4 linked regions of the Rattus norvegicus genome follow. The protein of the gene in region 1 interacts with the protein of each later gene in a pairwise test. Links are inferred from orthologs where the notes say so. Each region holds a gene or a part of one and is shown in the gene's direction. Other genes may lie near its edges.

The links.
Region 2: the proteins of Ipcef1 (region 1) and Cyth2 interact in binary tests that used the Homo sapiens proteins (3 or more experiments, as listed by UniProt). The link is inferred for Rattus norvegicus from reciprocal best matches to the Homo sapiens genes IPCEF1 and CYTH2.
Region 3: the proteins of Ipcef1 (region 1) and Cyth1 interact in binary tests that used the Homo sapiens proteins (3 or more experiments, as listed by UniProt). The link is inferred for Rattus norvegicus from reciprocal best matches to the Homo sapiens genes IPCEF1 and CYTH1.
Region 4: the proteins of Ipcef1 (region 1) and Cyth3 interact in binary tests that used the Homo sapiens proteins (3 or more experiments, as listed by UniProt). The link is inferred for Rattus norvegicus from reciprocal best matches to the Homo sapiens genes IPCEF1 and CYTH3.

What each region holds. Positions count from the first base shown.
Region 1 is NC_086019.1:45,703,494-45,706,993, reverse strand, and holds part of Ipcef1 (interactor protein for cytohesin exchange factors 1), read left to right. Parts: intron 1-375; coding exon 376-748; intron 749-3,500. UniProt on the Homo sapiens protein: Enhances the promotion of guanine-nucleotide exchange by PSCD2 on ARF6 in a concentration-dependent manner.
Region 2 is NC_086019.1:105,424,743-105,428,926, reverse strand, and holds the start of Cyth2 (cytohesin-2), read left to right. Parts: upstream 1-1,384; 5' UTR 1,385-1,571; coding exon 1,572-1,590; intron 1,591-2,471; coding exon 2,472-2,619; intron 2,620-2,714; coding exon 2,715-2,781; intron 2,782-3,320; coding exon 3,321-3,439; intron 3,440-4,018; coding exon 4,019-4,099; intron 4,100-4,184. UniProt on the Homo sapiens protein: Acts as a guanine-nucleotide exchange factor (GEF). Promotes guanine-nucleotide exchange on ARF1, ARF3 and ARF6. Activates ARF factors through replacement of GDP with GTP.
Region 3 is NC_086028.1:103,981,584-103,985,598, reverse strand, and holds the start of Cyth1 (cytohesin-1), read left to right. Parts: upstream 1-1,215; 5' UTR 1,216-1,290; coding exon 1,291-1,312; intron 1,313-4,015. UniProt on the Homo sapiens protein: Promotes guanine-nucleotide exchange on ARF1, ARF5 and ARF6. Promotes the activation of ARF factors through replacement of GDP with GTP.
Region 4 is NC_086030.1:16,044,629-16,048,859, reverse strand, and holds the start of Cyth3 (cytohesin-3), read left to right. Parts: upstream 1-1,431; 5' UTR 1,432-1,552; coding exon 1,553-1,586; intron 1,587-4,231. UniProt on the Homo sapiens protein: Promotes guanine-nucleotide exchange on ARF1 and ARF6. Promotes the activation of ARF factors through replacement of GDP with GTP. Plays a role in the epithelial polarization.

The sequences.
Region 1 (3,500 bases):
CTTGTTTTTGCTCATTTCATTGTGAATCAAAAATAACGACAAGTTATCATTGCACTCACAAACGTTCTACAGAATTGTTCTAACGTAGTGTTTAAGTTGTTGGAAATGTTGAAAGTTTTGAGTAAAACAATCTTGCTATAGGGATTTTTCAAATCTTATATAGTAAACTCAAAACCCCACAAAAGGCTCTTAGCTGGCATACAGAAACGAGTGTCACACATTTTTCCTTTTTCCTCTGACTTTTTAAAAAAGTTTCTGATCACTTTTTTGAAACAATTCTGGGCAAATTTGAATAAAATTCGGACAGAGAGAATGATAATTCACAGTCTCTCTTCTTTTCCTCCTCTTCCTTCTGATTTTATTTGTGGAAAATAGGCTGCACGGCGGGCATCTTCTTCTTCACCCAAACGGAGAGAAACATCATGTTCTTTCTCTTCTCTGGAAAATACAGTAAAGGCACCCAGCCGGTTTTCTTCCTCGGGATCTAAAGAAAGACAGTCGTGGCTTGACATAGTTAACAGCTCGCCTGCTACCGAAGATGTGGGACATCCCCTGTCATTTGCTGTACAGGTCCACACACTTGCCTCCTCAGAGGCAAGCAGTTGCCGGGTCTCAGAAAACAGCTCCACAACACCAGAAAGTGGTTGTTTGAACTCTTTGTCTAGTGATGACACTTCTTCACTGAACAACAGTCAAGACCATCTAACAGTCCCAGACAGAGCTTCTGGATCAAGAATGACAGACAGAGGTAAACCAGGAAATTGCTTATTCTTCTTAGATGGCAAATATTTGTTGGGGGCATTATATAACTCTGATATAAAATTGTAACAAAAAGGTTTTAAACTCATGAATGGCTATTTGATAATTAGTCACATGGGTTTAGCTGCTGGCTCCTTTGGTAGAATTTGCCTGTGGCAACTCTGGTTGCTAAGTGTCACTAACCAAATAAAGCAGGCAGGCATGTGTTCATATGGTAACTCCTCCCCATAAATTTGGGGAACCCCCTTTTATGGTTCCGTAGTCTAATAATTAAGCCCTGGGGATCTGTAAAGTGCATTTATTTTGGTTGAATGTTACCAGATGGGCTTAGAGAGGCCATCTTCCTGTTGGAAAGGGCTGATCAGTGGTCTCTTAAGGGTATCTTTGTAATTGATGGAAGGCAGATATTTCACATGCATTCTCAAGGGCATCACCTACAGACGAGGCAACAGCTTATATTTATGGGAAAGAGTTTTCTCTTGACAAAAGAAATAGTTGTGTGTAGAAATCAATAATGTGTCTTAAATATTCTTTGATAACTTTCATTTTTGATTCAGGACAAATGTGTGTCTATCACTACCCATTCATGACAAGTCTTTTCTAATTGTGCCTCATTCATTTTGGTGTAAAACAAGGATATCTGATGTCAGTGAGCAACTGGAGAATAATGGATTTGCACTGTAAGTTTTCAGTGTACTGCTAAAAGTTGGCTTGCTAAATTCCTATGCTAACTTGCAGTGGTTGCCCAATGACATGAATGACCATTCTTTCTCCTCTACCCTGAGCAGGGAGGGTGTCCTTAAGTTCTCAGGTATGGGGCTGGAGATACTCAGTGGCTTAGCGCTGCTCTTTAGGCACTCAGTTCCTAGCACCCGCATTGGGTGGCTCACAACCACCTGTACCTCCAGCCCAAGGGATCTATGTTCTCCTCAGGCTTCTGTTTGTATCCAAATGCATTGTGGATGCACATGCATGGGCATAGATGCACACACACACATGCACTCACATACGCATGCACACACATGTATACAGAGAAAGGGGGGCATATATATATATGTATATATATATATTGTGAAGTAAACCCTTAAAAAGTATCAATATTTTGGATATTCCCTATTAATTTAATTTTTAGAAGACAATAATTTAGGCCAGAGCTCACAACTATGTGCCAGGATGCAACTATATGCTGCGTGTGTGTGTGTGTGTGTGTGTGTGTGTGTGTGTATGTATGTATGTGTGTGTGTGTGCGTGTATGTGTATGTGTGTGTGCGTGTATGTGTGTGTGTGTGTTTGTATGTGTGTGTGTGTGTGTGTGTGTGTGTGCATGAGGGCATACTATATTTTAATACATGTGAAGTTAAACAGCCAGGCTAGTAACTCATTCTTGAAGTCACTCAGTTGTCACTGTTTTTTAGGGCTTTCTCCATGGATGCTTTATATTAAGTGATATTTTACATTGATATCTTCAATCTGAACCAATTACCCACTTTTTATTAGAAAATAACTTCTAGAGGTAGCTGAGTAGGTAGGGTAGGTAGGAGATAACCTTTGAGGGAGAGGGCTAAGAGGATTGTTCTGTGAGGAAGGGAAGTAGTGGTCTCTGTCTGGCCACAAATATATGAGGGGATGTTGTACAAACAAAGTATTGGGATTAATAGCATCTCCCTTGGCATAGGCAAGTAAGGTCAGTGGTGTGATCAGACGGGAGGTATAAATATGAGTTAAGAAACTTCTTTTTCTGAAGCTATGAGCTGTTCAAAACAGAAGAGACAGCTCATGCCTATGTGACTATCACTGGATGTGCATACTATTTGGAAATGGCCATTTTCCTCAAATATAGAGTGTGCAGTACATATTGATTATATTTTTTGTTCTGGCAAAGACACAGAATTTCAAGTGTGGGTTTTAAGTGACCTTTAGCTTTGCGATTACAAGATGCAAATGTGGTCTCGCACGCATCACAAAGTATTTGGGCAGCACAAATTAGTACTGAGGGGTTTTGTTTGTTTTTAAAGGACACAAAGTTAGGAGGGTCAGGATGAATACATGGATAGGACATGAATCTGGAAGAGTTGTGGTGGAAGAGGTTGAATATGATTATAACACTTTGAACAAAACTCTCATAAAAATGAATGAGTGAATGAATGAAAATAAATGTAAAAGAGAAAAAAAAAAGATATAGATGTTAAGAATGGAGAAGCCAAACAATTGTTTCCCATTGAAGAACTGACTGTAATCATTTGTTTAGAAGGAGAAATACAAGAGGGGTTGACAGGATAATTCAGTGAGTAAAGTAGGTGGTGTATAAGTCTAACAACCCCAATTTAAGCCTGGATAATCATAAAGATAATTAGAAAAAAAGTGAACGAACTCTTTTTATCTATCTTTTTTTTTTTTTTCGGAGCTGGGGACCGAACCCAGGGCCTTGCGCTTGCTAGGCAAGCGCTCTACCACTGAACTAAATCCCCAACCCCGTGAACGAACTCTTAAAGGTTGTCCTTTGACTTCTGCACATGTACTGTGGCACATGTGTGCCCCCATACACCTCACACATACAACAACAATAACAACAACAATAAACTGTGCCCCATATACCTCACATATACAATAGTAATAATAATAATAATAATAATTATAATAATATATGTGTCTCCATATACCTTCATATACAATAACAACAACAACAACAACAATAATAATTATAAAAGGATGTGGAAATTCCTCTCTCCTCTCTGTAACAA
Region 2 (4,184 bases), about 60 Mb from region 1:
GAGTGTTGAATCCACCCATGCCCTCTTTGGGTTCTCATCTTGCTTTATCCTTCAGAATCCCTAGGTAATAACCGGACAGGATTAATTAACTGGCCGCTCTCCCACCTCCAGGTCTAGGGCAGGGACTAAGAACAAAGGAGACCATGATGGAGAAAGATGCTCAGTTGGGCTGGACAGGCAGGGGCAGGCAATTCTAATGAACAGGAGAGAACTGGGTAGGACTGGTGTACCCAGGGTCTCCATGAGGGAGGGCATGGGTCAGGCCACTCACTCATAAAGGTCACAGAGGGGATTAGGAGGCTCCATGACTAATCCAAAGGCTTAACCAAGTCCTGGCCCAGAATCCACCCCCACCTGAGCAGTCCAGGGACACAAATGAGGGCAAGACCTGGAAGCCCCACCCATCATGGGCCTGGGATTTACAAGTATGCCAGAGTCCCCACCATGCAGGCTCCTCACCGCTTCCCCTGCAAAGGGGAAGAGAATTCTGGGAGGAGAGATGAGTTTAAGGGCAGGAGTGTGGGGACTGAAAAGGTTGGGTCGAAGGAAGACTTTAAGTACCGACTCTTGGAGAACTGCCAAACTTGACAGTGCAAAGCGGAAGATTCTGAGGGAAAAGGGGTGCCTTGGGAGAATGCCTGGGGAAGGCAGAGTTTTCGGAAGAGGAAGCTAAGAGGGAGAGTTTAGAAGAGAGGAAGAGCCTGAAAAACAGACAAAGCGCTGGGAAGGTAGAGCCCTTGCATTCACGGTACCCAATACCGTAACATTTGGAAGACAGAATGCTTTTATTTACCATCCTTTGAGTCTGAGATTTCAGGTGTGTAGGAAAGTCTAATGTGGTGGTACGAAAGGGGTTCAAAGATTGCGACCTGCTAAGAAGTACCCTGAAAAGGGGGCAGAAAGACGGGCCTGTGAGGCTCCCAGTTGCTTGGCAACCACTGCGGTCAAAAGCTAGCATGGAGGGCCAGGAGGTGTGGCTGGAGCAACAACCCAAGGTTGAGACCCGCCCTTGACAACAAAACTAATAAGGCACCGCCCCCTAACAACGAATGCCTGCGGAGGGGTTGGTGGAGGAGGGTTAGGTAGCCCTAGTCTGGCTTGTGCGCAGGCGCAATCTCCCCTCTCCATGAAGTCACACCTCCTGGTCACTTCTTTTTCAGTTTTCTTATTGGAGGGTAAAACTGCCAAGGATTTTCCTTTGTCTTGGAGGCGGGACTGAACAAACTACCCATAGTCCGATTGGTCAGCCTAGCAGTCTATTGCCAGCTGTACGTTCCTGCATCTGCTTCTCGTGTGCCTATTGGTCCTGGAGATGATCCTGTGGTGTCGGGGGGCGGAGCAGTCGGGGAGACCCGCAGCGGATTGGGTGGTGTCAAAGCGAGGGGCGGGCCCCACCGGCCGGGCGGTTGGGCCGTGAAGGGAGAGTCTTTTCGGCGCTGAGGACGGGCGCTGAGGAGGCGGCGGTGGCTCCTGGGGCGTTTGAGCGGGCTCACTCGAGCCCGCGGGCCGACGCGGACGCAGGCCCAGCCGGCGGAAACGCCCCGGACTCCCCGCGGGCCTTCCTAGCCGCCATGGAGGACGGTGTCTACGGTAGGCCGGGCGAGGCGGGCGGGCGGGCGGAGCGGTTCCCAAGCCCCGCCGCGGACAGCAGAGCAGTGGCGAGGCGCCTTTCAGCGCGCGGGACGGGCTTCCGGCGCGGTCGAGAGCCGGGGGTCCCGGGCCATTGTTTGGGCCGAGCCCGCTTCCGGCGGCGGCGGCGGGCGGGGCGCGGAGCGGGGCGGGGCGGGGCGTACACCCGCGGGAGCAGCGGCCTGGCTTTCTTCCTGCAGACCTAGGCTTAACGCCGTCCCTACCGACCCTGACCCAGGATCCTGCTGCCCTATCCTGACTCTACTGTGTACCCAAGATCCAGACCACAGTGTCCGCTATGGCGGAACCAGAACCTCGGGTTCTTTCCAAGAAATGCACCCAAGATTCAGGACCCCCAACTTTCCCACCATGATGGAGCCAGAATCGGGCCCCCTTACAAGAAATGCACCAAAGGTCCATATTGTGGTGGATCCAGAAGCCAGAGTCCTGATTTCTTTCTAAGATTTGCACCCAAGATGCAGGATTCCCAGGTCCTCAACCACGAAGGGACCTACTCCCTTCCAAGATCTAGGGTTCCAAAGCCCTTTCGATGATGGAGCCATGAGCCCAAGGCCTTCCAAGTAATGTTTCCAGTATCCAAGCACCCTGTTCTACTGTGTTGGAACCAAGGAGCCAGGGCATCCAAATAAAGCATTTAAAATTCAGACTTAGAGTTTCTGACTGTGGTGGGACCAGGATCCCAGGGAGTGGTTCCCTTCCGAGTAATGGGCCCAGAAATGCATCCTCAGACCTATGAGATGGGATTCTCAGGGACTTCAGCCCCAAACTAAGGACTTCCGGGCCTTACTCCCCAGAACTAATCTCTTGACCCTGGTCCCCAGAGCCCCCAGACTTGACTCCAGAGGAGCGCATGGAGCTGGAGAACATCCGTCGGCGAAAGCAGGAGCTGCTGGTGGAGATCCAGCGCCTCCGGGAAGAGCTAAGTGAAGCTATGAGCGAAGTGGAGGGTCTGGAGGCCAATGAGGGCAGGTGAGGACCGTGGGAGTTCATGGGACATGGGGCGTAGCCAGGGCTCTGGGTGCTGAAGCATCGACCCTTGGCTGCTCACCACCCTGCTCTTGCAGTAAGACCTTGCAGCGGAACCGGAAGATGGCAATGGGCCGGAAGAAATTCAACATGGACCCCAAAAAGGTTAGCAGGGAAGATACTCAGGCACGGTTTTGACATCTCTGGTTCTAGAAGTGTTAAGACAGTAGGTTTCCTCTAGGCAGCAGGCTGGATCCCTAGACATCTGTCCAATGATTGTGTACTGAGGCCTTTGGGAGCCTGGCTCTGTGCTTTGCAATGCTGAGAACCCTAAGACCCTGCCATATTCTGGGGGACCCCTCGATATAAGTGCTTACAGTTCAGGATGAGATAGGTAGTAAGAGAGGGGCTTTCATGCCACAGGAAGAGCCAGGTAAGGGATTCCATGTTCCTGTCTACGTGGGCAGGTATGTGGTGTCAGCGTCATTTCTTTATTGTAATGTGTAGTAGTGTATCCAGTTATTCTTCAGACCCATTCCTCGACAGGCCCAGTTGTTCATGCTGGAATTAGCCGGAGAGGCTGAGGGAGTAGGCTAGGGATGGCACGTGGGGGGCTATGTGAAGGTGGTCGTGCTTTGTTAGGGTGAGGAAGCTTCGGTGCAGGAACCTCTGCCCTGAGCACAAATCTGGCCCCCTCCCTCCAGGGGATCCAATTCTTGGTGGAGCATGAACTTCTACAGAACACACCTGAGGAAATTGCCCGCTTCCTGTACAAGGGCGAGGGGCTGAACAAGACAGCCATTGGGGACTACCTAGGGGAAAGGTGAGCTGCCAGGCCTGCACAGTGCTTCCACCCTCTTTAGCGTCTCATGGGGTACAGCAGGTTTGTGGCCTCCACTGGGTCATGATACAATGGACTGACTAGCTCTGCAGGGGCAGGGTTTGAGTCTTGGGAGGTGGCACCTGTAGGCATCCAGTGAGTAAGGGCACCCGTTATGTTTGAGGGACTACTGAAGTCTGAATGTTAGCACCTTAACCGTGGATACACAACTGGGTTGTCTGGAAGTCTTGAGCCATGGGCCAGAGCCCCACGTGTGTAGAAACCTCTGTAGATGCGTGAGTGCATAGGAACTGGGAATTGCTCGTGGGTTCTTAGATAAAGGCCAGCTCTTGAGATAAGGCTTGTAGGGAGCACAAGAACAGTTGAGAGAAGTGACATCAGGTCCTTTGTGTGCTCAAAGCTTCGACGGGCTACAAGAGCAAAGTGTCCTCCTATTCCAGGACCCGACCTGTGCTTAAAGCCAGGGGACAGGCTGAGCCACTGTGGAGGCAGCACAGTGAACAAGATGTGACATTGTTATCTGTCCTATCACTCTCCTGATGTGACTGTATCTCCCTCCAGGGAAGAGCTGAACCTGTCTGTGCTCCATGCTTTTGTGGATCTACATGAGTTCACCGACCTCAATCTGGTTCAGGCCCTCCGGTGAGGATGGGGCAGAAATGCACCTGCCAGGGCCTTCTCAGCTGTGAGGGTCGAGCCATACCAACCAAAACAAGCCACACTCACT
Region 3 (4,015 bases), on another chromosome or scaffold:
AGACCTGACTCTCCTTCCTCCCACTGTGGTTGGCCTGACCCCTTCATGCCCTGCAGAAGCCCAGAGAATCCCTGGACCTTCTCCAGGCAGTGATTTGCAGAGAGGGAGCTGTGAAGGGAGAAAGCTGGTTCTGGAGCTGCCCTTCTGCAGCACTGGATTTCACACCTTTGTTTCAGTCCGGAAGATCCTCCCTCAAACCTCCCAGCGCCTCTTTTGCTATACTTTTAGGTTTTTTGTTTTTGAGGTGCAGTTTCACTATATTGTCCTCCTGCCTCAGCTTCCAGGGAAGCTGGACTAACAACAGGCATGCAACAGGCAGGCACCACTACCTCAGGCCTTTCTGGGGTAAGGAGGGTTTGCACGGTGTATGGGGGACATCCTGGAAAGGGAGCTACAACTTGGTGATGCCCCAGCCCATATATGAGACTCTCTGAGTCTTTGGGAATCAGTCCTCTCTTTTTCCCTGGTTTCTGGGATGCACGCTAGGCAAGTGCTCATCACTGAGCAGCACAGCTCAGCCACTTGTCTAGAGTTCACAGGACAGGGTGTTCCCTAGGGGCCTTTTCAGATATTAGTTGGTTGTTTCCACTAATTAATTCTGCAGAGACCTCCTGCGGCATAAATGCTTTCACCTCCACAGAAGCGGTCCCCCGCCCCCACACTGCAAAGGAGGATCAACTGGTCCTCCCAAAAAAAGCCCCAGAGTCCGTGAATTGACGCTAAGGTAGTAAAGCGGGCAGTTATGTCGTCCTGTGAAACTTGGCGCCGGCAGGAATTCCTCCTGGACAAGCTGGAGTGAGAGGTGGATTCAACCAGAGTCACCTACCCTTCGGTGACACCCGTGACCTTGAGTCTGTTTAACCAGCCCAGTGGCTGGACACCGGCCCCCGCTTAGTAAGCCACGCCCGCGGCCTACGCTCGCTTGTGAAACTTAAAACCCGAAACTGCCCCGCCCCGCGGAGAGTGAGGGGGCCGTACCTAAGAAGCGGGGGCGTGGTTTAGGGTGGAATCATAGGTAGGCCGCGCGTGCGTAAACGCAAACCAAAGAGGCCCGCACGCGGACGGGGCCTAGAGGGCGTTCACGCAGGCGCGCTTTTGCTGCGGGCGGGACCTTGTGCCGGGGGCGGTGCCTCGGGCGGCGCGTGCGCAGGCGCGTGCTGGGCAGTGCGGGCGCGGTGCGGGGGGCGGGGCTCCGCGGTTCGTAGCTGGACTGTGGCGAGCTGGTGTCTGGCAGGACGCGGGCTGCGGGAGGTCAGTGGCGGTCGGTGGCCGGAGTCGGTCGCCGGCACCATGGAGGACGATGACAGCTATGGTGAGTGAGGCCGGTCCACTGCCCCTTCGTGCGCTTCCGCCTGCGCCGGTGCCCCTGGGACGGGGCACCGAGTGCTGGCAGCCGGCAGTGCGAGGGCCCGGGGGTGACTGCCCAGGCGCTCAGGGACCTGAGGGTCGCCGGGACTGAGGGTCGCCTGGTCCTTAGGGTCGCCGTGAACTGAGAGTCACCCGGGCCTGATGGTCGCCGGGAGCTGAGTGTCATTCCGGCCTGAGGGTCGCCGGGGCTACGGGTCACCCAGGCCTGTAGGGTCACGGGCAGGGGTCGCCCGAACTTGAGGGCACCGAGATGGGCAGGTGTTAACTCGGGGCTTTCGGCTTCCGGGAGCGGGATTGCTCGGACCCGAGGGTCGCTGGGGCTGAGGTTTGCGAGTCTGGGGACCCCGGGAGGGGAGTCACACAGGTTAGAGGGTCTCCGCGGCCGGCGGCGTGTAACCGGAGCGCTGAGGGTCATGAGGATGCTGAGGAGCCCCGGGGCGCGGAGGGGCATCAGGGCCGGGTGACTGGGGTCGGAGTCTTCGAAACCAGTCGCCTGCTGCTTGTCACCGGGTTGGCCAACGCCGTGAGCGAGCGGCCGCGGGACTAACACGCCCGCCCGGCCTGTGTTCCCTGGTAGTTTCCGGCTCTCGGGGTGTTAGAAGTTATGTGCCCCAGCTAGCTAGCTCTTTGTTCTAAGATGAACACAAATGGCCAGAACCGGGGGCCTCTGAGACGGGACGTCGGTCAGGTTTGTGCTACCGTCGCATGGTGAATTAGCTCCTGGTCCCCAAGTCTGTCAGTCAGGGCCTGGCCACACTGGGCAAGGAGATCAAGTTTGAGCTATTGCCTGAAGGTAACGACACCAATCCACATCCTCCAACAGGGCATTCAGCGATTTAGACTCTCCTGGCTAACCTTGGTGCTTGTTGGCGTCCAGCCAGGGCTCTGGTCCCTCAGAGGGCGTGCAGTCTCTGGAGTTGTAGAAGGTTATTTCAAATGCTTTACATGGTGGTTGTTAGCCTTGTTTCCAAGAGGAATGGAAGAAGGAATGGCAGGTAGACCGAGCGGCGGCGAACTTTATTGGTTTGTCAGGGAAGTATGGATCAGGAACTTAACGTGCTTATGGGGCATAATGGAGCCAAACTCTGGCGTGTTGCCTCACAGGCTGCACTGCCTCCTCACACACTGGTGAAGAGTATTAAAATAATACCAAAAGGGAAGCGTGTTAGGTCTCTGCAGGCAAGTCCTTAGAGAACTCCCAACCGGTGAAGCCTTGAAGGTTGTGGCTAAAAACTCCCTAAACTTTTCAGAAAAGTGAACCTGTGTTTCCCTGAATGTTAGAGGTCTGTGCTTGTCTGTTCAGCCAGCCTTTGCTGCCTTCCAGGTAGAAGTGGTATGTGCCTTCCTTTGTGACAGAAAAGCAGTCACCCGCAGGCCGACCCCTGAGGGATTGTTAGGCCCCTTTGGACCCTCAGGGTTTTTCTTCTGCTGGAAACCTTCACCTGGTTTCCTCACTGCTCTTTTCTCTCCCTCTTGTCCTTTGTTGCCCCTAGGCGCCAGGGCTCTGCCAAGCTTTGGTCTTACCCTCCCCTGGTTATTGCCTGCTGGGTGGTGAGGCAAGAGGCGGCTCTTCTGGTTGGTTTTAATAGTGACTTCCTTGACTCAGGCATGACTTGTACTAGGAAAGGAAACATGGACGTGTTTTGGTTCCTGTTACTGCCAGGAATAGAGGCGCTCAGACCCAAATTTATAGTTCTGGAGGTCAGAAAATCCAAAATAGGTCACACTGGGCTGATACCAATATTTTGTTAGGGCAGTGTTCCTTCCAGAGATTGGAGGGAAAAGCTGGCCTCCATTGCTTTCCTAGCTCTAGAGAATGCTTGCTTCCCCTGGTATCAATCTTTAAAGGCAATCCCCTGGGTAACATCTCTTTACTCCCTTGCTACCCTTTCACAAGAACACTGGTATGTCACACCCACTTGGATAACCCAGGATAAGGGTCACAGCCATCCACAAATTCAGCCTCCCTTTTGCCACATGGGTATACACTTTTAAAGATTTGAGGATTGGGAAGTTCACATCTTTAACTTTTTAAAATATTCATTCACTCATTTACTGCATATGGAGAGGACATACTTACAGGAGTTGGTTCCCTGCTTCTGCTCTGCCCGTCCTGGGATGAAACTCAGGTTCCTAGACTTATCACCAAGTGCTTTCTAACCCACTGGGACACATCACCATCCCAGATGTGGGTATGCATACGTGCAAGCCTTCAAGAGAGCTGCACAGGAGGATGAAAAGGAAGCTTATTTCACCTTGTATACACTTTTATTTTTTACACTTTTTTTATTTGAGAGGAACTAAAGGAATTAAATACAAGAGAACTCCGCAAGTATCATAGTATAAAATGACCACGTGGAGGCTGAGACCAGCTTCCTTCCTCTCTTTCTCCCTCTCTCCTTCCTTCCTTCCCTTCCTCTCCTTTTCTTCTCTCTTTTCTCTTTCCATTTTTAGTTGGGGAACATCTCCCTATGATTCCACAGGGCTGGCCTCAAACTCCTAGGTTTAAGTAAATGGTCTTCCTGCCTCAGCCTTCTGAGTAGCTGGCCCTGTGTTGATTCTGTGTCTGGCTGAGCTCCCAGTTTGGTCTGTGATAGTATCGGACTATACAGAGTGTACTCGGTCCGGTTTCCACATGCTAAGAGGA
Region 4 (4,231 bases), on another chromosome or scaffold:
AACCTCTGTAATCAGGCTTTTTGAGAGCTGGGCCCCAGCTGTGCTGGACTGGGATTAGGGTTCAACGTCATGACTACATTCATTTACAAACCTCGATACTTTGTTAATTTTAAAATGCATCCAATCCGCAGGAAAAAGAGACTCCATTTTCATTATACACGGAAGGGATAAAAGGCTGGAATTACCCTAACATCTTGAGGATGAAGAAGGGAGGAGGTGGGGAGAGGGAGAGGCTTCTTCACAGTGGGCTCATTTTCAGACGATGATGATGACGATTATTATTATTGTTATTATTTCAGACAGGGACTCACTAGGTATCTCTGGCTAACCTAGAACTCACTATATAGACCAAGCCCACGAAGAATTCATAGAGATTTGCTTGCTGTCATCAAAGCATCACACCCAATTTTTATTATTTTTAAAATTATTTTTTAAAATAAACATTTGAAAAAAAAATTATTTAGCTGGGCATGTTGGGTCATCCTTTTCTTTTTCTTTTCTTTTTTTTTTCCCCTTCGGAGCTGAGGACCGAACCCAGGGCCTTGTGCTTGCTAGGCAAGCGCTCTACCACTGAGCTAAATCCCCAACCCCTTGGCTCATCCTTTTAGTTCCAGCATTCGGGTGTCAGAGGCAGGAAGACCTCTGAGTCGAAGGTTAGCCTGGTACACACAGAGAGTTCCATGATATTGAGGGCTATGCAGAGAAACCCTGTCTCAAAAAAGTTTTTCTTTTAAATTTATTTTGTGTGTATAGGTGTTTTGCCCGCGTGTATGTATGCACCACAAGCATGCCTGGTGTCGTTGGAGGCAAGAAGAGTGTTCCAGATAACCCTCATATGAGTACAGGTGTCTTTGGAGGCCAGAAGTATCCGATCCTTTTTGGAGCTGTAGTTACAAGGGTTCTGTGAGTGCTGGAAACAAACTCTGGCTCTCTTCAAGAGCAGAGAGTGCTCTTAACAACAGAACTATCTCCTCACACAATTATTACTGTGTGTATGTCATGTTTGGACGCCCATGCATGCTGCGGTCACAGTAAAACTTATAGTTAGTTCTTTTCGTTGAGCCAATCATCATCAGCCTTCCCTTCCAGATCTTTTCCCACTCCCCTACTCCATGCACTTGCGAGTCGCAACATAGCCATTTGGTTTTGTAGAGCGGGGCGTCCTCGTGCTCCTGATAGACACGGCTTCCTCTCCAGGATGCTCTAGAGGGGCAGACACCAGGTTCGAAGGAGGGTGCAGCGCTGCAGGATCCAAGTCTCTAGGCTAAGCAGCTACTGCAGCTACTGCAAGGCCCGGCGGAGTCTGGAGGGCGGGACCACTAGGCGTCTAGTCTCCGCCCACACCCACAGAGGGGGGCGTGGTTTATGTCACGTGACGGCGCCGGAGCAGCGAGGCTCCGCCCGGCCCTCCGTGGAGGCCCGGCCGCGACCCGGGCCGCGCACGCTGAGGAGCTCCTCCGTTCTCCCCGCGACCACTTCTCCTAGTCCCGGCTTTCAGCCCAGTCGCTCCCGCCGGCTCCGGGCTCGCCGGCTGGCTGGGAGTGGCCTCAAGATGGACGAAGGCGGTGGCGGTGAGGGCGGCAGCGGTGAGTGATGGAGGTGTGGCCGGCTCTCTGGGCGGCCCTGAGGCCGGGGGTCGCGCTGTTGAGAGCCCTGGCTTGAGATGTGGGGCCGGGTGTCGGGTGGGTTGGTGGCGACCGTGGGGAGGTGCTCGGGGTAAGGCCGGGACGCGGGCTTCGCAGCGTTGGTGAGAGGACAAGTCGGAGACCGCAGGGTCGTCGCCCAGCGCGGTAGCGGGTCGCGGGTTCGAGGCCAGGGTCTTCGCTGCACAGCTCCAGGTCGCCTTTCCGAGATGGGAGCACATTGCGGGGCGACCTTCCCAGCGTCTCATTGCCAAGGGCGTCCACGCCCTCCCTAGTCCAGCTGTTTCGGACGGGCCCCTCTCCTTTTCAGCTCTCCTCAGGTGTCTGGAGCTTGGGAGCTCGTGGATGGGGAGGGGAAAGTTTTCAATTTGGACGCCTCGGGGCCCGGGGGTGGGGTCTGTTGGATCGGTCCGGGGGAGAGGAGGAAGGTTGGAAGTCATAACAACGTCTCCGGGTTTTAGATCAGAAGTACTCGTTGGGAATGGCTTAAAGGACATGAGGGACAGGCAGCTCCAGTCCAGGTCTGAGTATGCATTTTTATCAAATAGAAAAAAAAAATGCTACAGAGAAGGGGTGGGGTGCAAAAATAAAGAGGGGGGCAAATAGCTGAATGATAGAATAATTGTCTAGCATGGCCCTGAGTTTGTTCACAACACCACCAAATGGAAAATATAATTAAGAAATTAAAGGGGTCAGGTGGGATCTCTCTAAAGCCGAGGGTGGGAAGCGGGAGCCACAGCCAACAAGGCTGTAAGACTCCAGGACAGGTGTGTGTGGCAGACACCCTTCCTGAGGTGGTTATCATTTCTCAGGGGCAGACACCCTTCCAGAGGTGGGTTATCAGTTCTCGGTGTTGCTCAGGCTCTATGTGCCTGACTTTGAATTCTGTCCTCCTGCAGATGTGCTGGTTGCAAATTACTCAACGGATTACAAATTCCTGTTGTATCATTTCATGAATTTGGTTTCCCAAAACATTAAGAGTCCCCGTTCGTCGAGTGGGTCTTTGATTGAGAAAGCAAGGGGTTAATAATGTACCCATCATTTTTACCCAAACACCCCAAGTTGAAGCTGTCTGGACTTTGAGTAACGATCTTCCTTTTTGCTGACAGAATGATCAGAGTCCCATGTAATAAGGGAGTGTTTAGGGGGGAAAAAAGTCTTAATTACAGGCTGCTGGAGCAGCTGCCTGTAAGAATCAGCAATATTGAAGACTTCCCCGTGAAGTGGTTAATCAAGGTGCCTTCTAGAATTCCAGAGCTTCTCAGATTTTTTTTTTCCTTCTCTGTGAAAGAAACGGGGTGGCTGGGCTGGTAGGAAGTTGGCACTCCTCGTGGCATTTGCCAAGTTCAGTTCTCATAGTAAAAGCCAGGGGTAGCACAGTGGCACCGAGTGGGTGTTTTGTTTGTGAAAAGAAAGAGCCCAGTTGCAAACCCTCCTACAGACCGGCTGCGGGGCTGGAGGCACTGGATCCCTGTGGATGCCTTGCCTTTCGCCTATATCACAGTTTGACATAGTTTAGAAAAGACAGGACAGTGGCAATTGGACATTGGAATCCAGGAAGCTGAATTGGGGACGGCTTTGCAGGTGCTGCAGTCTGTTGAGTCAACATGTGAAAGATTTGAAGGTAAAAGCAGATACAGTGGGGGAAACTTAGAAGCCAATGTGTTTCAGCAGTCCCTGGAATTTGAGAAGTATAATGAAGGTCAATATTAAAGTAGCAGGAAGGCTTAAAGCTATCTCTGGACCATTAATGTCTCTGGATATATTAATGTACCAGAGAAACACTCTTAAAATTAAAAAAAAAAAAAAGATGTTCAGTTCAATGATACTGCACTGTCATGGCCAACAGTTAAAAAATGAGACACAGTAACCGCGACCAGGTAAGGTTACTTCAGGGAGACATTACAAATTGACAGCTGGAGCTCACTCTCCAGGAGCCACATGGTGGAGGAGGGCCCTGCCGCCCACAAGTTGTCTTCTGACCTCCTCAGGCAAGCAGCAACAAGCTTGCGCACACATGCAGTTTTAAAAAGTTACCAAGGACAAGCAGTTCTTTTATACATTCTGATCTAAACAATGTAAATACTGCTGTCATTATGGATTTTCTCTTATATTTCCCAGGTTTTTTGAATAAGAACACATGCTTTCAAATTTAGACCAAAAAAAAAAAAATCTGGGCTTATAAAAGATCCACATATTTTAAACATACAGCGTGATTTAATTCACCTTCCTGGAACATTTGACAACAAAGAGATTTATTGATTTTTTTTTCTTTCCCTGCTGGAATGCCAGACAGTGTGCTATGTGATAGAAAACGGCTTTTTAATTTTTATTGATTCAGCTTATCAAAAAAAAATCTTTCCTGCTCACATTGTGGTAAGATACTTACGGGTGCTTTGGCATCTTTTTTTTTTTTTTCCCGAGAGTTGGGGACCGAACCCAGGGCCTTGCGGCCTGCTAGGCAAGCGCTCTACCACTGAGCTAAATCCCCAACCCCAGGAGAGACCTTTAATCTGCATCTGGGAGCCCTGTTTCAGCTTTCTTAGAAGATTAAAAAAAAAAAAAGCTAAATGTATTCGAATAGTAGT